4 linked regions of the Ovis aries genome follow. The protein of the gene in region 3 interacts with the protein of the main gene of each other region in a pairwise test. Links are inferred from orthologs where the notes say so. Each region holds a gene or a part of one and is shown on either strand. Other genes may lie near its edges. The genes, in order: PLXNB1, PLXNB3, ARHGEF11 and PLXNB2.

Evidence for each region.
Region 1: the proteins of ARHGEF11 (region 3) and PLXNB1 interact in a two-hybrid assay, tested with the Homo sapiens proteins (2 studies listed by BioGRID). The link is inferred for Ovis aries from reciprocal best matches to the Homo sapiens genes ARHGEF11 and PLXNB1.
Region 2: the proteins of ARHGEF11 (region 3) and PLXNB3 interact in a two-hybrid assay, tested with the Homo sapiens proteins (2 studies listed by BioGRID and IntAct). The link is inferred for Ovis aries from reciprocal best matches to the Homo sapiens genes ARHGEF11 and PLXNB3.
Region 4: the proteins of ARHGEF11 (region 3) and PLXNB2 interact in a two-hybrid assay, tested with the Homo sapiens proteins (2 studies listed by BioGRID). The link is inferred for Ovis aries from reciprocal best matches to the Homo sapiens genes ARHGEF11 and PLXNB2.

The regions. Positions count from the first base shown.
Region 1 is NC_056072.1:51,486,609-51,491,508, forward strand, and holds part of PLXNB1 (plexin-B1), read left to right. Parts: coding exon 1-47; intron 48-2,291; coding exon 2,292-2,356; intron 2,357-2,498; coding exon 2,499-2,574; intron 2,575-3,582; coding exon 3,583-3,657; intron 3,658-4,900. UniProt on the Homo sapiens protein: Receptor for SEMA4D. Plays a role in GABAergic synapse development. Mediates SEMA4A- and SEMA4D-dependent inhibitory synapse development. Plays a role in RHOA activation and subsequent changes of the actin cytoskeleton.
Region 2 is NC_056080.1:80,505,962-80,510,740, reverse strand, and holds part of PLXNB3 (plexin-B3), read left to right. Parts: coding exon 1-83; intron 84-267; coding exon 268-444; intron 445-538; coding exon 539-731; intron 732-826; coding exon 827-1,069; intron 1,070-1,160; coding exon 1,161-1,316; intron 1,317-1,403; coding exon 1,404-1,555; intron 1,556-1,698; coding exon 1,699-1,799; intron 1,800-1,888; coding exon 1,889-2,112; intron 2,113-2,257; coding exon 2,258-2,436; intron 2,437-2,607; coding exon 2,608-2,674; intron 2,675-2,924; coding exon 2,925-3,252; intron 3,253-3,359; coding exon 3,360-3,463; intron 3,464-3,552; coding exon 3,553-3,649; intron 3,650-3,876; coding exon 3,877-4,055; intron 4,056-4,196; coding exon 4,197-4,357; intron 4,358-4,597; coding exon 4,598-4,745; intron 4,746-4,779. UniProt on the Homo sapiens protein: Receptor for SEMA5A that plays a role in axon guidance, invasive growth and cell migration. Stimulates neurite outgrowth and mediates Ca(2+)/Mg(2+)-dependent cell aggregation.
Region 3 is NC_056054.1:106,872,198-106,877,864, reverse strand, and holds part of ARHGEF11 (rho guanine nucleotide exchange factor 11), read left to right. Parts: intron 1-63; coding exon 64-139; intron 140-447; coding exon 448-615; intron 616-1,322; coding exon 1,323-1,413; intron 1,414-2,178; coding exon 2,179-2,304; intron 2,305-2,719; coding exon 2,720-2,781; intron 2,782-3,666; coding exon 3,667-3,885; intron 3,886-4,244; coding exon 4,245-4,607; intron 4,608-5,600; coding exon 5,601-5,667. UniProt on the Homo sapiens protein: May play a role in the regulation of RhoA GTPase by guanine nucleotide-binding alpha-12 (GNA12) and alpha-13 (GNA13). Acts as guanine nucleotide exchange factor (GEF) for RhoA GTPase and may act as GTPase-activating protein (GAP) for GNA12 and GNA13.
Region 4 is NC_056056.1:225,585,175-225,591,454, reverse strand, and holds the start of PLXNB2 (plexin-B2), read left to right. Parts: upstream 1-2,468; 5' UTR 2,469-2,561; intron 2,562-6,280.

The sequences.
Region 1 (4,900 bases), on a different chromosome or scaffold from region 3:
AGACCTTCATGGACGCCTGCACCCTGGCTGACCACAAGTTGGGCCGGGTGAGCCAGTTGGGGTGGGCCGGGAGGGTGTGGGGGGGGGGGGGGGCGGCCTGGCCAGGGGTAGACTGTGCTGTGTGCACTCAGAAATTCCCATCTTTCTGGAGGATGTCAGGGAGGAGGATATGGGAGGCCTTTGACCTTAGCCCCGGGCCGGGCTTTGTCCCTGGGCTCCCTGGGAGGTGGCCGTGCTCCAGCCTTGTGATGTAACAAGGACCGGGGCCACATGTGCCGATTCGCAACGTCAAGACAAGGCAGCAGGTGCTGGTGAGTGTGGCAGGAGGCCAGGGCCACTTGGCAAGGGCTCACCCTGAGTGTGATGGGGAGCCACTGAGGGCCTGGGGACAGGGGTGGGGGGTCAGACCCCTGGTGGTCGCCAGCGGATGGACTGGAGCCTGGTGTCCAGAGCAGAAGCTATGCTGTCCCTGGGACGAGCAGTGGCCGTGTTCAAGCTGGAACAAGAGGGTACAGGGCAGGCAGGAGCTGTGGGTTGGATGTTGGGGATGAGGAAAAGGGAGGGGTGTCTTCTGACCCCTGGGCCTCTGGCTATTGTGAGCTCAGACTTGGAGGAGGGGCTGCCAGGTGGTCTCTAGGCAGAGACGTGGATTCTGTAAATGCTGAGCATCTCCAGGCTGCCTGGGGGGCTGGATTCCAAGGGCAGCAGAGGAGGTTTCCACCAGCCAGGGCAGTACAAGGGGGAGAGTCCAGGGAGGGCCAGGCAAGCAGGGATGTGCGGATAGGGGAGTGGGAAGCACAGAGGGGGAGCTGACCTGGTGGCACAGAGGGTGCAGGTCAGTTGTCACAGGGGTCAGAACCCAGAGAGTCCGAGACTGATATCGGGTCCCCACTGGGACTGCACAGGTACCCAGCGGGGAGGACCCTCGTGGCTCCTCAGGCCTGTGATCGGGCTCCGCTTAGCCTGGTCCCCTGGGCCACAGTTGGCCTGGGACCTCTGAGAGGTCTGTGCCTAGCCCTGTGAAAAGAAATGAGATGGAAGGTTCCAATGCACAGAGCTGTCTCTTGGGAGCCAGTTTTTGGTCTGTGAACTCCCATCACTCTGCCCATGATGAGCTGAGACCCACAGGGCCACACCGGGACCCAGGGGTCCCCTCCAGGGTGTGTGCTCTCCGGTGTCCGGGTTCTGATGTCTGATCTTCACACAGCCCCCGCTTCCTGGCAGTACTGCAGGTGCTTCCTGGGTGAGTCAGGAATGGGGCAAACCAGGATCCTGAGGGCACCCCTGCGGAGAGCGGCTGAGAAGCAGGCATCTGGTCTCAGACCCTGGCCCTCGGCGGGCAGTGCAGTCTCGCCCCACCCTCCCTGCAGCTGTAGGATGAGGCAGCAGGTCCCGAGAACGGAAGTGCTGTCTGCAGCCACCGGGACAGGACTGGGACTGGAGCCCAGTGCGGTGGTAGAGGATGTGTCTGGTCCTGTTAGACTGTGGGCCCTGATCGGAGAGAGACCTGCTTCAAATCCCAGCTCAGCCATGCGCGAGTGAGATGGTCTGGGGCAATGTAATTGAATTTCCGGGTTAGTTTCCTGAGTTTTAAGATGAGTCCGTGGAGAATGGACAGCACGTGGAGAAGCAGTGTTAGGGCTCCACGCGGCTCGCCAGTTCCCTGCCGGGTCTGGGTGGAGGCACGTGGAGCTGAGAGATGACCTTGGAGAGAGAGGGGGAGACGTTCAAGGTGATGACGGCGGAGGTGGGACAGTGGGGAGGGGTGACGGAAGGAAGGAGCTGGGGTGGCCAACCGTCCGGCTTACCTGGGACTGAGGAGGTTTCCTGTGATTCAGGACTTAGTTTTCTTTTGATTTGTGTTCACTGTATTTATTTGTGCTGGGTCTTCCTCGCCGTGCAGGCTTTTCCCTAGTTGCAGTGAGTAGGGTGCGGGGTGGGGGCCTCTCATCACGGTGGCTTCTCTGGGTGTGGAGCACGGGCTCTAGGGCGCCTGGCTTCAGAGTTGCAGCACGTGATCTCAGTAGTTGCGGCTCCTGGGCTCTCGAGCACAGCCTCAGGAGTGGTGGCGCAGGGGCTTCGTTGCCCCGAGGCCTGTGGCATCTTCCCGGATCAGGGATGGAACCCGCGTCTCCTGCACTGGCAGGCCAGAGTCCTTACCACTGAGCCGCCAGGGAAGGCTGAGGACTGAGTTTTAAAACTGAAGCAGTGCTGGGGACGGTGGGACAGCTGGTCACCCTAACAGGGCCCTCATCCTTCCTTTCTTTTGCTGCTCGCCTGCTGGCCCCCAGGACTCCCCCATCAACAAACTTCTGTATGCCCGCGATATTCCCCGGTACAAACGGATGGTGGAAAGGTACGAGGGGAAGGAGTTGGGTCTGGAAGATAACCAGTGGATGGATGGGTGGGTGTTTACAGCAGAGGCCCCCGGGGTGGGCCTGGTGGGGTGAGGAAGGGTTTGTTTCCCTAGTGACTTTTGGACCCATAATCTCTGGTAGGTACTATGCAGACATCAGACAGACCATCCCTGCCAGTGATCAAGAAATGAACTCCATCCTGGCCGAGCTGTCTCGGGTACGGCCCTCCTTCTGCTCCTTGGGTTGGGCACAGGCCTTCTGCCCCAAGGGTCCTGCCTGCTTCACACTGCTCCTTTACAAGGAAGTCCTGGGGCCTCCGAAGAGTGTTCCCGCTGCCTCCGTAAAATACCAGGGCTCCCAGCATCTCATCAGAGAGCAGCAGGGTCTTGTGCCGGCAGCTACCACCTGACCGGACTCAGCTGGGTGTTAAGATGTTTGCAGCCCTTCAGGGTTTGTGACCACGGTTCCCAGGCAGCGAGGAGGCGGGGGTTGAACCCCAGGACCGTCTAGCCCAGCCTGTCCACATCCTACTGCTCTGCTTCCTGGGCAGTGTAGACCTGCCTCTGCCTACTCCTAAAAGAGCCCCCAAACACACACCCCGGGGAACTTACGAACAATGTTAAATCTGAAACCGAGGTGATGAAGATCACAACCACAGAACAAATAGCAGCTGCAGCTGGGCGTGTTGCTGTGGGTGGGGTGCTTTGATTCCCTCTCACTGCACTCGTAGAAGAGCTCTACAAGTTAGGAGACCTCGACTCCATCGTCCTGAAGAGGAGGCTGAGGCTCAGAGAGGTCCCCAGGGAGGGGCCCGGGTGTGACCTGAGGGGACAGGCTCGAGTGAGATCGGAGCAGAGCAGGGCTGGGTCACAGGCTGTGAGCAGTGTCCATCCTGCTGGGCTCTGCGGTCCCCTGGGGTGACAGAGGGTCCCAGCTGGAGCCTGGAGGGGGAGAGAGGCAGGGCCCCAGTGGAGACCCCAGGGCCTGGGAAACTGCAGAGCAGGGGTCTCTCCACCCAGGAGGCCCTTTTTGGCTCTATCCTGTGCCCAGCTGAGCCTGGCAGCCCCTCATCGAGAGAGGGGCTCCACTTCCCCAACACCAGGCTCTGCTCCTTCCTCTGCCTCCCGAGCCCTCTCCCCCACTCCCCGTCCCTGGGGTCCTGGGCTTCCTCTAGGGGCCGGCAGCACCCCTTAGCTCTAAAACCTCTTGTCTCTCCTCCTCCTAGAACTACTCTGGAGACCTGGGGGCTCGAGTGGCCCTGCATGAGCTCTACAAGTATATCAACAAATACTATGACCAGGTGAGCAGAACCTGGGCGTGGTCAGAATGGTGTGAGCGGGTGACTGGCTCCGTGTCTCCCCCAGGCACAGAGTGGTGGGCTCGGGCAGTGTTTGTTCTTGCCGTGCGCTTCCTGGTATCGGCGTGACTCTTACCTGCTACCACCCTCCCCATCCAGGGCCCTTGGCAGGGCTCCTGGGCCTGGTGGTGGGGGTGGCGGGGGGTCCAGCAGGGCCTGGAGATGGCGTGCAGGACGTGCTGGGTGCCACGTTGGCCCCAGCCGTGCGCTGACGGAGTCACTCCCTCTCCCTGACTCCCCCATGACTATAAAATGAGTTCACATACCCTCCAAGGTTGAAAAATCCAACTGATGGACCACTCACTTAGTTCAGGCTTCCTTGGTGACTCAGACAGTAAAGAATCTGGCTGCAATGCAGGAGACCTGGGTTCGATCCCTGGATTGGGAAGATCCCTTGGAGAAGGGAATGGCTCCAGCATTCTTGCTGGAGAATCCCATGGACAGAGGAGCCTGGCGGGCTACAGTCCATGGGGTCGCAAAAAGTTGGCCATGACAGAGACCAGAACTGATGGACTTGTTCTCGCTCAGACCCCTATCTGAGGCCTCACGTGGCTGTGTGCAGTGTAGGCCATCTCTGTGGGCCTGGGCCTGGCTGGGCTGCAGGTACAGACAGAGAAGAGGGTCCAGATGTAGGGTCTGGGGCAGGTGAGGGCACGATGGAGCCAGTGAGGGGGCTTTGGGGGGATTCTGGGCTAGGCTTCAGGATCAGAGCGTCCATCAGTCTGCTGACGGATGCAGCGGCCTGCTGAGTGCCCGCTGGAATCATTTGCCCAGACGTCTGCGTGGCCCCAGGGATGTGGCCGTTGCTGTTGAGAGATGAGGACCTGTCTCCTGGCCCAGGCCTGGAGTAGAGACAGGCAGTGAGCAAAGGCGTGGTGTGCAAGTGTGACTTCCGGGTGCCGCGGCCTTGTGTGGGAGAGACGGGCCTGTGTCACGCTCCCCCCATGGAGGCGTGGCCAGCAAGCCCTCCTGTCCCTGCCCCCGCACCGTCCGCGTTTGGTCAGTAGCTGTCTCCCCTCCAACGAGCCCACGACACCAGGGACATCCCCGGGTCTCTGCTCCTTGCCCTACACCTGGCACGTGGGAACTCAGATTTGCTTGTTGGCTGGTAGATGCGGAGCCAGGATGGGTGGAGCTGGGCTTCCAGTGGGCCTTGTGGGGAGAAGACCAGCATGGTGGGCAAGGC
Region 2 (4,779 bases), on a different chromosome or scaffold from region 3:
GGAACCCAGCTCACCATCCACGGACAGCGCCTCCAGACAGGAGGCAACATCAGCGCCTTTGTGGGCAGCCAGCCCTGCCCTATGTAAGTGGCTCCTGCTTCCAGCTGGTCGCTGCCAGCTGGGGTGCTCCCGACGGGCCCGAGTCCCCTGGCATACAGTGGTGGTGGTGGGGTCTCTGCCCTTGGTGGGGGAGGCAAAGTGGGTCTCTGACGGGCTGGCCAGGCCAAGGCTCAAACCCAAGGTGCCAGACCGCTCCCCTCCCTGCAGCCAAGAGCCGGTGTGTCCTGAGGCCATTGTGTGCCACACCATGCCCCAGGCTAGCCCAGGAGACGCAGTGGTCCGAGTGGTCTTTGGCCAGGCCCAGCGCTTGCTGCTCGCCAGCCCCTTCCACTACACTGCCAACCCCCAGCTTGTTGCAGCCGAGCCCAGTGTCAGCTTCCGGGGGTGAGGACCTGGTGCACTTGCACCCTGCCAGCAAAGTGGGGTGGCAGGACGGGGCCAGGCTGCCCGGGCCACGCTGAGTCCTGTCCTGGCGCAGGGGTGGGCGGCTGATCCGAGTCAGGGGCACGGGCCTGGACGTGGTACAGCAGCCCCTGCTGTCCGTGTGGCTGGAGATCTCGGAGAGGGCTGCTGTGAAGCTGCAGTCCCAGGACCCGACCCCAAGGAGCAGCTGCGAGGCTCCAGCTGCAGCCCCCCAGGCCTGTACCCAGCTGGAGCGGGGCTGGCTGCAGGTGAGCCTGCAGCGGCAGGCGAGGCTGTGCCCAGCAAGGGATCGGGGCAGGCTGGGAGCCCCCAGCTCACCTCACCTCGGCCTGCCCCCTCACAGTGCTCCAGCGTGTGCTCCATCAACTCATCCACCCTCCTCCTCTGCCGGAGCCCCGCGGTGCCTGACACGGCGAGCCCCCGGCGGGTCTTCTTCAGCCTGGACAACGTGCATGTGGACTTTGCCAGCGCCAGTGGGGGCCAGGACTTCCTGTACCAGCCCAACCCTCGGCTGGCCCCCCTCCATCACGAGGGGGGGTCCACCCGCCCCTACCGCCTCAAGCCAGGCCACATTCTGGATGTGGAGGTCAGGGTTTCAGCCAGCAGTCCTGGGGGACAGGGGGGACCTGCAGACACAGGCTGAGTGACTCCACTCAGGCCCGTGATCGGCCTCCCAGGGCGAGGGCCTCAACCTGGCCATCAGCAAGGAGGAAGTGCGCGTGCACATTGGCGACAGCGAGTGCCTGGTGAAGACGCTGACGCTCACCCACCTGTACTGTGAGCCGCCCCCGCAGGTCCCACAGCCCAGCAATGGCACCTTGCTGCAGTTCGTGGTGAGGCTGGGACCCCAGGCACAGTCGTGGGCGGCCAGAGCCATCAGAGCCAGTGCTCAGGAATCCTGTGCCTCCCACCACCCCCAGGTGCAAATGGGCAACGTGCGCCTGGTACTGGGCCCGGTCCAGTATGAGGCAGAACCCGTGCTGTCTGCCTTCCCCGTGGAGGCCCAGGTGGGCCTAGGCGTGGGTGCAGCCCTGCTGATCACTGCCGTGCTCCTCCTGACCCTCATGTACAGGTGAGGATCACACACACGCCAGTGTCCAGTCCAGTCCCCTCTTCACTTATGGCAAAGGTGCCCCACAGCCGGCCATCTGGGCTTGGGGGTCTCGGCCCAGGCAGGCCAGCTTGTGTGGCTGACACTCGGTCCCCCGGTGGCAGGCACAAGAGCAAGCAAGCCATGCGGGACTACCAGAAGGTTCTGATGCAGCTGGAAAACCTGGAGATTGGCGTGGGTGACCAGTGCCGCAAGGAGTTCACAGGTGGGGCAGGGGTGGGAGGGCAGGCGCGGGTAGCGGGACACAGGCAGAGCTGCTCCCGAGCTCAGACCCCGGTGGCTCCCGGCCTGCAGACCTGATGACAGAGATGACTGACCTCAGCAGCGACCTGGAGGCCAGCGGGATCCCCTTTGTGGACTATCGCACCTATGCTGAGCGGGTCCTCTTCCCTGGGCGCAACAGTGGCACCCTGCAGCCGGCCGTCGAGGGGCCGGGTGAAGAGGGTCGCCGGGCACCCGTGCACCAGGGCCTCATGCAGCTCTCCAACCTGCTCAACAGCAAGCTCTTCCTCTTGACCGTGAGGGCCACGTGGGCAGGCTGGAGGCGGGCCTGGGGTGAAGAGGGAGGCTGGGTGGTCGGCAGGCATAGGCTACATGGTGGGAGGCCACGTGGGCTGCCGGGCTCCCCAGAGTGAGCGCTGGTGCCCCCCAACTCCCGCTTAGCTCATCCACACCCTGGAGGGGCAACCCAGCTTCTCGCAGCGGGACCGCTGCCATGTGGCCTCGCTGCTGTCCCTGGCACTGCACAGCAAGCTCGAGTACCTGACCGAGATCATGAGGACGCTGCTCAGTGACCTGGCCTCCCATTACGTGCGCAAGAACCCCAAGCTCATGCTGCGCAGGTTGGCCCTGGACGGCTCTGGGCAGGGTGGCCCCGGGGAGCCCCAGGTGGCCAGCTGGGTCCCGAGCCACTGGTAGGGCCAGTCAGCCCTGCCTGACCTCCACCACTGGCCTTGGGTGGGGGACAAGATGACCCTGCGCAGCCCCTCTGACCTGGGGCCCGCTCCACGCAGGACGGAGACCATGGCGGAGAAGCTGCTCACCAACTGGGTGTCTATATGCCTGTACGCCTTCCTGAGGGTGAGGGCCCCTCTCCCCTCACCCCATGCCAGGGCTGCTGCCTCGGGCCTCCCTGACCTGTGGCCCGATCCCTCCCAGGGGACCTCGGGCACAAGGGCAGGGTGTCGGTAAGGGACAGGTGGTGAGCCTTTGCCCTGGCCCCGTGCAAAGCTGAGCCCGCTGGCATGGACCACCCTCTGCCCTGGCTCCACACAGCCAGCTGCCCCTATGAGCTTACGCAGCCAGCTGATCCCCAGATTGATGCTTGCAGGAGGTGGCCGGTGAACCAATGTACATGCTCCTCCGGGCCATCCAGTACCAGGTGGACAAGGGCCCCGTGGACGCAGTGACAGGCAAGGCAAAACGGACCCTGAACGACAGCCGCCTGCTGCGGGAGGATGTGGAATTCCGGGCCCTGACGCTGATGGTGCTGGCCAGCCCGGGGCCAGGCGGGCCATCAAGGAGCAACACGGCACTGCACATCCCCACCCGGGTGCTTGACACGGACACGATCACTCAGGTCAAGGAGAAGGTGTTGGATCAGATCTACAAGGGCACCCCGTTCTCCCAGAGGCCCTCGGCGCACGCCCTGGATCTCGGTGAATGCCCGCCCCTGGCTCTCCCCGCCCCTGGCAGCTCGGCTCTGCCCAGCAGGAACAGGCTGTGGGCTCACTGGCTCCCCCGGGTCCCCACCCTGCACCCCTAGAGTGGCGCTCGGGCCTGGCAGGTCACCTCACCCTGTCAGATGAGGACGTGACATCAGTGACTCAGAACCGCTGGAAGAGACTCAACACCCTGCAGCACTACAAGGTGCCCGGTGGGTGGGGTCTGGGGAGGCAGGACCCCCACCTCGGGCTTGGCAAGGGAAGGAGCCCAGCCTTTGCCCCCCTCCCCGCCAGGTCCCAGACGGAGCCACAGTGAGGCTCATCCCCCAGCTACACAACGGAGGAGGCATCATCTCCCAGAGCCTGGCCCCCAGCTGCCCTTCAGGGGAGAGTGAGTGAGGCTCTCAGGAGCTCGAGGCCATGCCATCGGCCCTATCTGGGTCTCCCAACACCTCGTCAGTGGGGAAGCCAAGACTCCCTACTGGACCCAGGCCGGCGGGTGGATGAGGGTGGTGGTGCGTCACCATCAGGGAGCTCCTGGGTGCGAGCTGGAGCACCCCGGCTGGTGGCATGGGTGCAGGGGGGCCAAGGACTGAGGCCCAGCTTCTGCGCCCTCAGACACCCCCATGCTGGAGGATAGCGAGGAGGGTGGGGTCCGTCTGTGGCACCTGGTGAAAGCCCCCGAGGAGCCGGAGGCAGCCAAGGCACGGCGGAGCAGCCTGAGGGACCGGGAGCGGGAGCGGGCACGGGCCAAGGCCATCCCGGAGATCTACCTCACCCGCCTGCTGTCCATGAAGGTGGGGCTCCTCTCCTGGGGAGGCTCAGCAAAGGGCACCTGGACAGACCTGGGGAGATGCTGTGGGACAATGGGGCTGGCCACAGCTCGAAGGGCCTCCCACCTCGACCCCCCCAAAAGTGCCCCATCCCCTGCCTTCTAGGGCACACTGCAGAAGTTTGTGGATGACGCCTTCCAAGCCATCCTCAGCGTGAACCGGCCCGTGCCCATCGCCGTCAAGTACCTGTTTGACTTCCTGGATGAGCTGGCGGAGAAGCACAGCATTGAGGACCCGGAGACCTTGCACATCTGGAAGACGAACAGGTGTGTCACCTGCTGGCCTGGACCCGGGCAGATGAGTCCCAGATACACCAGGACACTGCCAGCGCAGCCAGGACAGGAGCCCAGGCCTGGGGGCCATCACCTTGGGTGACCAATCGTGCCCGCCCCCCTCCCCACCCCGATATGGCCAGCTCCCCAGGCAGCTCAGGGCCACCAGGGTCCAGGTGGAGGTGCTGAGCTGGACTGGCCGGGCCTCACTCCATGGCTGGCCTGTGTCTCCAGCCTGTTGCTGCGGTTCTGGGTGAACACCTTGAAGAACCCGCAGCTCATCTTTGACGTGCGGGTGTCAGACAACGTGGATGCGGTCCTCGCCGTCATCGCCCAGACCTTCATGGACTCCTGCACAGTCTCAGAGCATAAAGTGGGCCGGGTGAGGGCCGAGGAGGGCAGGCCGGGGGGGGAGG
Region 3 (5,667 bases):
AGCACCTTAGCATAGAGTCTAGGTTTTCAGATGCTTGTTGAATGAATGGTGTCTCTTTAACAGAGTTTGGATCTTACAACCAGAAAGATGATCCACGAGGGGCCTCTGACCTGGAGGATCAGCAAGGATAAGACCTTGGGTAAGCGCCAGGGGCCTGGGGCCAAGAGGGAATCTAGGGCATCACCCGTGCTCTTCCTCTCTGGATCATCAGCCCTGTACCTGGCGCTCTTAAGGTAGCTGGGAGGCAGCTCCAAACACCACTGGGGTTGAGAGCTCAGGGCACCTGGAGCACAGCATGGGGAGGGAGGACCAAAACCTAAGCAGGTCACCAGACTCCAGGGCTTCGCAGACCCTGAGGACGACCATCCAGGAGCCTCTGGTGTCCCAGGTGTTGGTGAGGGCGGAGCAGGTGGCGGGGAACCCCTCACCAGCACCGCCCTCCTCCAGACCTCCACGTGCTGCTGCTGGAGGACCTCCTGGTGCTGCTGCAGAAACAGGACGAGAAGCTGCTGCTCAAGTGCCACAGCAAGATGGCCGTGGGCTCCTCAGACAGCAAGCAGACCTTCAGCCCCGTGCTCAAGCTCAACGCTGTGCTCGTCCGCTCGGTGGCCACAGGTACCCACAAGGAGACGGCCCCAGCTGGCCCAGGCCCCAGGCCATGAGCCCTGGTACTCACGTCCAGTGAGCGCTGGGTGATGAGCCTACTGGCCTGCCTGTGTGGCTTTCCTTCTACCCTGACTCATCTAAGCAGGAAGATGTGGTTCAGTACGGGGTAGGATGGGGATGAAGGTGGACAGCCTGGCGCAGGCAGGATGGGATGTGAGCACCGAGGGTGGCCTGAGGATGAGGAAGCAGAACTGGGCAGAGACGAGTAGGACATGCCTTCCTGCTGCAGGAGGGACAGGCAGAGTTCACACCCACAGGCCAGAGCCCAGCCCCGTGCTCGGAGCATGTTAGTGGGAAGCGGAGCATGTACAAGAAGGGCTCTGGGCTCACTTTCCTCAGCTGTGGCGTGGGGAGTGATGCAATGCCTGTCTCTTGGGGGAGGTGGAAAGGGAGGATGGGTGTGATGTGGTTTTATAACCCTCAGCCCTCACCGTGAGGAAAGCGGGAGGCAGCGACTGTGAAAGTGGCATTAGAGGAACCAGAATGGCCTCTGCCCTTCTGTAAGTGGAACCCAATGACCTAGGTTCAGCTAGCGCTGCATTCTCCATCCGGTTGAGGGTCAGGGTTTCAAGTCCACACTTTGTCAGCCGACCCAGGCTGCAGTCATGCCTCTGCCGCCCCCAGTACAGACCCTTCTGCTTCTGTCTTCCGCACAGATAAACGGGCCTTCTTCATCATCTGTACCTCTGAGTTGGGCCCACCTCAGATCTACGAGCTGGTGGCTTTGACATCATCAGACAAGAACACGTGAGGATTGCTGGGAAGCGGGGCAGTCCCGCGTAACTGCCATCCCCGTGGGACCAGGGCGGTGTGTGAGGACTTGGACAGTGAGACCAGGACTGGGCCCAGAGTGGTTAGAGGATGGGGCCTTGACACAGAAGAGGGAGATAAGACAGACGCAGAGAGGCTTTTGGGATCGCCATCCCTGACCCCATGAGCGGCCTGTCCGAGGAAGGAGGCGCCACCAGCGGTCTTCCAGCCAGCCCGCTGCGCCTCTCCTTCCTCTGGCCCTCTCCCTTCCCTTGGGTGGTTCTTCTCTTTCTCTATCAAGTGTTTTAAATGCCCGCATTCTTCAGAGGTGTTTGCCTCCAAAACTCTCATCTCCACCCCACGGCATCCACCCGCCCGTGTTCCCGACAGTAGCCAGCCTCAGTAGTAGCCTGTCTGACCCAGAGGCCAGAGACAGCTTGGGCCAGACAGTTTCTCGGGGCGTTCATCTGTGACTGCGGATGGCGCTGCCTCTTGGGAGTTACATTGAGCGAGAACAGAATGCAGAGCGCAGAGCCTAACAGTGTTGGTGTTCAGCAGTTGGTAGCTGCGAGTAACATAGACCCGCCCCAAGTGGGGCAGCCAGTCAGAACTGCACGGGCGGCGGCCCCCCCACTGGGCAGAGGGTCCTCAGGGCAGGTTCTGGCAAAGGGCCTCGCAGCTCTGACTCGGGGTTGGTGGGGGAGACGCTGCTCCTCTGTCCTCTTGTCGCCACCAGACCTCTCTTTTCCTGCCGAGCAACAGGTGGATGGAGCTCTTAGAAGAGGCTGTTCGGAATGCCACCAGGCTCCCCGGAGCTGCCCCGACACCCATCCACCCCCCGCCCCCAGGCCCCCAGGAGCCAGCCGACCGGAGCCCCACACCCAGCAGGTACGCAGCCCTCCAGGCCCGCTCACCATCCCCACTCCAGGCCACTCGTGCTGCTTCTGAGCACTTCCTCCCTGGGCTGGACAGCCTCAGCTGCCAGGTGTTAGCGGGCAGGCGGAGTAAGGCACGCCTGCACCTCCACCTTCTGTCCCTGCCTGGCCTTCCCCGCACTGCCCTGCTCAGACTGTGCCTGAATTGTGGGGGTGGGGGGCAGAAGGCACCCACCCTGCTCTCCAGGTTGCTCACCAGACAGCAGGTCTGAAATCTAAGCCACTGCGTTCCTGGGCCCTGCTCCTGCATTGCCCCGTGAACTCAGGCGGCCAGAGTGGAATTTCATGACGTGGCCACCTCCCAGCTGGCAGAGAGCCAGAGCTCCAGGCAGGCAGGCCCCTCTCACCTTGGCGGTTTCTCCCTGCAGGGCAGGACCAGATGACTCCGAGGTGTTCCGTGGTGAAGCGGAGCCTGAGGCAGCCCCAGGAGGTAAGTCCCTGAGCTGTCTCTGTGGGGGCCCGATCCAGCTCACTCTCTGTAGGCACAGGTAAGGAGGTGGCTGGGGTGGTGGGAGAGAGCTATAAAGGGCCATAAGAACAGAGAAAAGCAGAAGGAGGAAGGAGGGCTGGAAGAGGAAAGAACAGGCTCAACTGAACAGAGCTTCCCCCTGAGGAGGAAGAGGGGGCAGTCGGGTAGAGTCTGGCGGCTCCTGATGGAGAACGGGATGCTCTTAGAGATGGGCTGGCACGGGAATCCTGCGGGTGGGGGTGGGGAGTGGCGCTCAGAGGGCTGAAGATACAGTCAGTAGGATGGGGTCGACAGGGGCTCGAGGGTCCCCAGCAGAACTCTTGTTGAGTTTTTAGTGTGAAGTGACTTACCGCCTCAAGTTCAGAGAGGACTCTCCATGAGCAGGCCCCCTGGCTGGGTCTGTGTTCGCTTTCCTTCCGCTGGAATGCCTCTCTTAACTCCCGCCCCACTTCAAGTCTTTGGGCAGATAGATCGTCAGCTTTGCACCTAGTGCCTTTGTTGACCACTCGGCTTAATACCAGCGTTCCTGATCTCCCATACCCCCGCGTGTGGTTTTTTCTTTCCTATCGCACTTCTTAGCTAATTCATGTAGTTAATTTACTTATTTTCTTTTTCTCTGTGTTCGTCAATTAGAATTTAAGTTCCACAGGGCAGGGACCTCTGTTTTTTTCTGCTGATGTGTGCCAGGAGCCTGGGACGGTGCCTGGCCATGATTGAGGCTCAGTAAACACTGTGGAATGAATCAGGCAGTGTTCCTAGCCCCTTGAACCCGAAGCTGGACCTGGGATCAGCCTGTACATGCCCTCCCTCTTTCCTGGCTTTACACTGTCCTCCCATCCGAAACAGGCATGGGGTGCCCGCAGAGGGTCCAAGGGAAGCACTCGGCCCTGCTGGCAGATGCTGAGCAGGAGGGCAGCGTGGAGGAAGAGGAGCTGGGGGCGCTGCCTCACTCTTCTGCCTCGCTGGACAGCGAGCCCAGGGGAAGCAGGACGAGGGACCCCATCCTCCTGCCCCTCCCAGGCCCTCTGTTCATGGAAGGACTCGCCGACGCAGCCCTGGAGGACGGTGAGTGCCTCCTGGCCCTGGCTGTCAGCCCACAGTGCCCCAGCAGCTTGGCCAGCGTCAACAGGCCCGTACCCCACTCGGCCTGCTCAGAGGCTCGCCCTGAGTTGTGCTCGAGGAGAGAAGGATGCAGAGAGACCGTTGTTGTTCCTGTCCCCCCGCCCCAGCCTTCAGCCCGCCCCCCAGCTGGTTGGCCAAGGTCCCCCAGCTCCACCCTGTGACTGCAGAGGCAGTGTCACTCGGGGGTGGGGGGGGTGGGCAGGGAAGGGAGCAGCAGCCCCCCGCCTCCTCTGCACCCACCCCCGCCATGGCCAGGTGTGCGGTCCTGTGTCCAGGAAGCCGTCCCCCCGTTTCCCCTCCAGTGGAGAACCTGCGGCACCTGATCCTGTGGAGCCTGCTGCCTGGTCACCCCACGGACCCACGAGCTGCTGGGGAGCCCGAGGACGACCTGACCCCTACACCCTCCATCAACAGCATCACTTCGCACCCCTGGGACCCAGGCTCCCCAGGGCGAGCTCCTACTGGGGCTGAAGGGGACAAGGCCCCACTCTCGGGGCCAGAGTGGAGCCAGCCAGGGCAGGAGGACATGGCTTTGCGTTCTCTGGAACAACTGCCCCCAAGGACCAGGAATTCTGGGATCTGGGAATCTTCCGAGCTAGACAAGAATCCGGAGGAAGAAGCTTCAAGCACAGAGGGCACAGGAAGTTACAAAGTTGTAAGAAAAGGTAAAGTAAGTTGGGGTGTCCCCTGGGGGGGCACATGGCCAGCTTTGCTAGGGGAGCATTGAGTCTTCCAGCTGGCTGCTTCCCGCGCCCCTGTCTGGAAGCCCTGTGTGCAGAGGTTTGTCCTGATCCTGGGCAAGATGACACGCTGACATCGTGAAAAGGCTTTGGGGTCAGACAGCCAAGGTGCAGAGTCCTGGCTCCGTTACTTAATACCCCTGTGACCCTGGGAGAAATTCTAAAGCCCCTCTGGACTTCATTCATTATGAGGATATCACTGTGGCACAAGTCAGAGGGCTCCAGCTGGTAGCTTTAGAGAGCAGCAAGGAAGCGCTGATGTGTGAGGCAGAGGCAGGGTGGGTCTGGAGGCAGAGCCAAGAGGAGGGGCTGCAGGACAAGGCTGGGGAGCCGTGTGAGACTGGGGGCTCTGGTGAAATGAGCAGGGAGCTAGGCGGCCCTGGTTTTAAGACGGGAAAAGCCAGGACTGGCTGGGACGGGGGTCGGGGCAGGTTCGTCTGGCCAGAGCTCAGAGGACAGAGGGAAGAGTCAGCTGAGGAGAGGGCAGCCTGGTCTGAGGAGTGCAGCAGGGGAGGAAGTGAAGCGCAGGGTGCTCTTGAGGGGTGGGGGGCGTCCACACCAGTGCCAGGGTGTCTGCTTTCCTCCCCCAGTGCCCAGCTCTGCCTCCTTTTCCAGGAGCATTTTTCTCTCCACCTGCCCGAGGCCTACGCTCTTTCCTGGGTTTCTGGGACCTGGCCTTCCTTTTCTCTCCTCTGGTGAATTGGTGAATTGGTGGAGCGGTTCTCTGTGGCTCCGCGGGGTATAATCATGTGTGATCGTGTGTTTACTTTGTTCTTCCTTTTCTCTTTTTCTTCACCCCCCGCCCCGCCCCGCCCTGCCCCATACCCGCCTCTTCTTTCTCCCTCTCCTTCCGGCTCATCTCCCTTCCCTTTCCTTCTCTCTCGGTCTCTGCTCTTCCTGGTGGTGGTGTTGGTGCAGCGGAGGTGGCAGGCAGCAAGGTGGTCCCTGCACTACCAGAGAGTGGCCCGTCAGGGCCTGAGCCACC
Region 4 (6,280 bases), on a different chromosome or scaffold from region 3:
GCCCTGCCCCAGCTCACAGGCACTCCAGTGGCCCCCCGTGTGTCCATCTGCTCCTGCAGGCAGAAGAGGGTCTTGGACTCTAGCTGAATCCGGCCCCTGCAGCTAGAGCCCTCCAGAGTTTCAGGGCCCCAGGCTCCTTGGCAAGGACTGAAAGGCCCCCGAAGTGGCCCACGTGCCCGTGGGACACCTTGGAGCACTGGACCCAGGCCCGGCCAGAACTGTCAGCTGCACCCCAGGGGAGCTTGCTCAGCCGGAGGTGGGTGGGGCGGAGTGAGGCTTGGACCCAGAGCTGCAGGCCTTCGGGAGGTCCCAGCGAAACGGCCCCGGAGACTGCACCTGAGAGGCCCCCAGGGCCTTGGCGGGCAGCACAGGTGCAAGCGGGGGGCCTCCTGTCTCCTCTGGAGCCCCCCAGGCCGGGCCGCACCACCACTGCTCCCCAGCGGGGGGGTTGCCCCCAGATGGCGGCAGCACTGGCCTCGGGACCACCAGTGTCGGCTCGTCCACCCTGAGCGCCGCCTCCGGTGGCCTGGCGTGTGGCTGCAGGCAGAGGAGAGTGAGGCCTTCGAGAGAGGGGGACCTCGTGGACCCCCCCGCAGCCTGCCCGATCTGGGACAGGGCTGCCAGGTGCAGGGTGCCCCGCCGCCACTGCAGCATGTTGCCCGTTCTCCTCCCTCTGTTTTCGGAGGGTCACGGGCCTGTGCTGGAGGGCAGCCTCGCTCATGATCCTTCCAGGGCTGGGCTGCAAGGGGGTGCCAGGGTGTCCTCAACCACCCAGACTTCTGCCTCCAGCAGTGCCGGCGGCGGGCACCGCCAGAAGCCCCTGGATGCCGGCGCCCTCCCTCTAGCACCACTTGAGTCCGCGCTGCGGGCACTCACAGCAGCTTGTTCCCCTGGTGGGGGGTGCGGGGGAGGGCCGCCTGGCAGGGTGGGCATCACTGCCCAGGGTGGACTCCAACACTGGCAGCCTCTGGGCACAGCACAGCCTGGCATGGAGTCCTGCCAGCTCCATCCTACCCCCTATCAAAGCTCCCTGGTTCTCTCGAAGGATCAGGTCAGCCCTGGCTGGGACAGTGAGGAGGGAGGAAAGGTCAGGAGAGTCAAAGGAGGCCGGCGCCCCACCGACCAGAGCTCTGTGCACAGCAGGGCCTGGATGGGCAGGAAGCAGTGGTCCCCGGGGGCTCCGCGGTCAGCCAGTGTGGGAGGCCGCTTTCTTCGGGAGGTTGTGTGTGGGTCTGGAGTGGTGGCCGGGGATGGGCGTGGGACAGTGGGCTGATCCAGGGGCAGGAAGGACAGTCGTCACCCCCAAGCTTCCTGCACGCTATTTAAAGCCTCGCTTTTAGTCTGGGATGGGGGCCTTCCCACATCTTTGGTATTAAAGTGTCTTTCTGTGACACATGCTTGTCTTCCAACTTCCTCTTTGGATGAAAAGTTGGCATTCCTATGAGGTTCTGGTAACTTGAGGGCTCTCTTGGTGGGGCGTGGATGGGCCTTGGTGTGGATGGTTCAGGGCTGGAAGGGTGAAGGTGTGGCCTTGCTGGTTGGGAGCATGTCACAGAAAGAAGTCATGGGGGGCCCTCTCCAACAGCTTCATCCTAGTGGGGGGTTTTGAGCACGGAGCAGGCCCCTCCCAGGGTGCAGGAAGCCGGCTGTCTGCAGGCAAGGGGAAGCTGGATGGCAGCTCCCCCAGAAAGGGAGGGGGCCCACATGTGGGAGTCAGGGTTAGGCTGGGAAATGGCCTCACACTCCCCTGGGTCCCCAGCAGCTGCTCACCGCACCAGGGCTTGTGATCAGAGAGGGTCCATGAGGGAGCGGGAGGACACAGGAGAGCTGACCTCCTGGGGCGGGGGGCTCCCCACCTCTGCTCAAGTTGGGTGGGAAGCGGCCAGGGGCATCAGGATCAGGAGGGATGGGGCCGGAGTGGCCAAACGTGGGGCAAGCTCTTGACTGGAACTGGACTCCCCAGGGAGGGGCCGTGTCTGGCCTCCCACCTCTGAGCACTGAAGGCCAGTCGATGGATCCTGGGTTCGAGCTAGCGGGGAGGGTGGCTGGAAGCCAAGGACCCCTCTTCCCCCAAGGAGGTGTGGGGACAAAGCCCTGCAGGCCCCAGCCCTGCAAAGGACCGCTGTGACCGGCCTGTTCCCAGTCTGTTCCCCAGTCTGAGGGTTGGGGCAGGGGTTTCGGGCACTCCTCCAGAGCCCAGATTTGGGTTCCGAGGCTGAGCCTGAATCAGGCCAAACCTCCCAGGCGCCAGGCGGAGTCCACCCACTGAAGTCGCTGGGCGTCGGGGGCGCAGGGGGCCATGTAGGAAGCGCGGGGGCGCGCGGGGTGCGCCCCGCCCGGCGGCCCTCCCCCTCCCCTCCCCCTCTCCCTCCCTCTCCCAGCGAGCCCTCCCTTCCCCCTCCCTCCCCTCCCCCTCCCCCGCCGGGGGCGGGGCCGCTGCTCCCGCGCGCTCCGGCCCCTCCTCGGCCACACAAAGGCCCGTCTCCATGGCAGCCGCGCGGGCCACAGCGCTGCGCCGATCGCGGCCCGGGCGCCATCGAGCCTCCGCAGCAAACGAGCAGGTACGGGGACGGGGCCCCGCTCCCGCGGACGGTCGGGCCGGGGGCGGGCTTCATCGTCAGCGCCGCTTGGCCCTGGCCTGCGGCGCTCGGGACGCGGGGACCCGGGAGGCAGCCGCCCCGCGGAGGGCGACCCGGGCCTCGGCTGCTGTCGGTCCGTCCGGGCAGCCGGCGCAGGGCCCCTCCCGCCTCGCGCTCTTCCAGGCGGTGGGCGAGGCTCGCGGCGCCAGTGGTGGCCCGGCCGAGGGTCGCAAGCGGGGCGCCGCGCCCTCTCCCGCCGCCCGCGCCCCTCCGGAGACGCTGTGGTTCCCGACCCTCCGTACTCTTGCCCCCCAGCCCTCTGGCCACCGAGATCCGTGCACAAGGCGGAGGTCGGCCCTAGCCCTGCAAGAGTCCCGGGCCTGCGCCCACCCAGCCTCGTTCCGGGGTGGCCGAGCCGGAGCTCTCCCGAGGGGCTGGGCCCGCGGTCAGACCTTAGCGGCTCCCACACCCCCAGGCCTGGTGAGGAGGGCATGAGCCAGGGCCACCCTGGGCGCCCCTGTCTGCACCTGCCTGGGTGGAAGGCGGGTGCAGGTTCCGGGCTGGGAGGAGGACGGCCTGGCACCGGGCGAGTCCTGGCGGCCCGGCCGCTTCACTGCGCGGCTGGCTCCCGCGGTTCCGGTGCTTGTTGTCTGAGGTTTGGGTGCACACTCTGGGACCCAGAAAGTCTCTGTACTCACTGCCCGGACCCTGCCCCTCTGTGTGCCTCCGCCTGCGGGAAGCCCTCCTAGATGGGCCTTTCCCACCATTCTGTGCTCAGGTTGCTTGTAAGATTTGAGGAGGGTCCTTGAGCTCAAGGGCTTCAGAGCTTCCTGCCACGTCACTGGGCTCCTCTTCCCAGCCAGCTTGGAGAAAGGAAGGTCTCAATGGGCCCTGGGGCTGTGGCGGGGGGTCAGGACTGGGGGTGAAGCTCGATGGGAGAACAAGGCCCCCAGAGGCGGGGGCTCAGCCGGACCCCATACCTGGACGTCACCCTGGCATAGAGCGGGGAGCCCCAGAGTTGGGCAGCTGGGGCAGGGGCTGTCGGTCCTCTGCCCTGAGGAGAGGGTCCCTAGGAGGGCACGGTCAGCATCGGCCTGGCCGAGCCGCGGAGTATGTTTTGTGGCGTGTCAGCTTTTAGGAATTCTCGGAGAAGATTGAAAGCAAGCAGGTGCTCTCAGCAGATCTGAGCTCGGCACCTCTTCCCAGCACACCTATCGGTGGCCCACTTTCATCCGAGCGTGGGGGGAGGCTTGAGGTCTGGCCTGGGGCTCCTCGCCCCAAGAGAGGAGGGAAGTTGCAGAGAAAAACAAGGGTTTGGAATTCAAGTCCCCCCTCCCCCGCCGGCTGCCTGCCAAGAAGGAATTATTTTGGATTATCCAGCCGTGTCCAGTCACCCAAGGGGGAGGCTGCAGCCGTGGGAGAGAGATCCACTTCCGGGGCCATGGGTTGAGAGCCCCAGGAGGGAGGGACAGGCAAGTCTGGGCAGCTCCAGCACCTTCCTCGGCTGCTCAGCCGGTCAGGGGCGGGGTGGGAGGGCCTGGAGAACGCCCCAGCAGGCCCGTCGAGCCAGCCTGGGGTGCGCCCGGGTTCTCTGGGGGAGGCCTTGGGCCAGGAGGGATCCTGGACCTCTGGTCTCAGGGCCCCAGGGCAGCCACCCCGCCCAGAGACCCCCCTTCACCTCTGGAGGGCTCAGCACCATGGCCCCAGGCCCTGTGAGGCTGCCTCCTGCGCTGGGTCCAGGGACACACCTTGGGCTTGTTACTCACACCTGGCGGTGTGCGGTGTGTCCCAGGGTGGCGGGGCAGGCAGGGGCGGGACCTGGGCTGCCTGGAGTGGGTGGGGCGCTGGGGTTCCCCAGGGCTGAATCTGAGACCATTCTCCCGCCTCCTGACTGGCCCACTAACGAGGCACCCTTGGCTGAAGCCCCTCCGACCGCCCGGCCCCCACCTCCACGTCCCCACCTGTCAGTCCGTCCCACCGGCGAGGGGTTCCCCAGGGAAGGGGCCCCGCGAGGAGCTGTCTGGGCTGCTACCCGTCACGTGACCTGTGGGGTCCCTGCGGGCTTGCCTGCAGCCGCACCCCCAGCGGCCCCTGGAGAGTCCGCACTGGGAGGCGAAGCGAGGAGCTGGGCTGGAGGGCCGCAGCCCAGGGGCCTGGCCGCAGCCCAGGCGAGTGGAGCAGAAGAGATTGGATTGGAAGGCTGGCGGGGGGCAGTGGCGGCAGCCTGGGGCGGTTCCATATGGCATATGCCCCTCTGCCCCCGGGACAGCTTGGTTACAGGCTGTGAGCCATCCCGGGACCTGGGCCGTTCCCAGAGCATCGTGCTCTCTTCCCTGCCTTGGGCTCACATCGCAGGGGCCGAGCTGGTGGTGCCTGGGAACGCTGGGCGTGGGACCGGCTGTCGCTTCGGCACCTCCCCACGGGGCCCCTGGTCTGGTCTGGGCAGATCCGTGCTGCGATGCCAGGCCCTCTGTCCCGGGGCTGTCCTGTGAGGAGGAAGTTGTCATTCACGTCAGGTCTCAGGCCTTTTTGCTGCAGCAACAGGCACAGCCCCCTGCCTTGGCTTCCTGGATGGGGGGTAGGGTTTTCCTCTTTGCTGAGACCCTCTTGTGTCCAGAGCCTGCTCTGGTGTGGGAAGCAGTCCTGGGCGGAGAGGAGCGATCAGACCTGTCGAAAGCTGAACCCGGCTGGTCTTCCAGCCTCGACCCGGCTCACTGAGGTGGGCGCAGTTTCACGGGGACCAGTCTCTGGTTCTTGTGGGGGCTGGACAAGTCCCTCCCCCTGAGGCTAATGGCTATTTGTGTTTGGGGCCTTTAAACGTCTTTGGTTTCAAATTACAGGACAGACTGGGCTGCTGGTGGCCCATAATTGGTGGGGGGCACCGCGCTGTGGAGGGCTGGGGGGGCACTCCGTTTCCCTCTTCTGCCCCTGCCGCATGTGGCCCCTTCATGGTTTTTCCCTTCCCTGGTTTCATATCCTCTTGTGGGTTTCTGCTTCCCTCTGTCCCGGAGGCTTTGAGGGCCTCGGTCCCCCAGCTGACCAGGCAGGAGCCCTGCCCTCTCCTGGGCTCCCCCCCCCCCCCGCCAGACCAGGGCACAGCTGCTCGTCTGAAGGGCAGGGCAGGGCCCGCTGGCCTGCCTGCAGTGCCGAGCCCGGGGCGCCAGGACTCTGCTGGCCTCCGTGATATTCACACGCCCATACAGTGGCGGGACCCAGACCCTCAGGGGCAGCCCGGAGCGACCGTGCGCACGCCCGCAGCTCTGCCCCTCTGGTCCCTGGGAGGAGCCCAGGGCTGCCCCCTCCCCTGGCGCTGGGGCCCTGTTCCTGCCCTCGGGGCCTCTCTGGAGCCCCTCTGCAGCTCCGTGCAGCCTCTCTCGGAGACCGGCTCCCCCATCACTGGCAACTCTCCACCCTGTGGGCTGGCTGTGCTGGGCAGAGGAGGTGTGGTCCTGGGGTGGGGCGGGGCACCTGGGAGAGGGCTCGGCCTGGGGCCCACGTCCTTAGCCCCTGAGATCACGAGACCTCTAAAATGGGGCGCATCCTGGTGCTAGATGAGTCTGGGCCTGGGCACGCAGGGACCGAGTGAGGCCTTTGGGTGTCACCCAGGTGCTGACCCTGGTGCTGGCATCAGCCCTGCCCAGGACTTGACTCTTCTGGGTGTGGAGACAAGGCCGCTCGGCGCAGGTGGCCAGCAGTTCCCC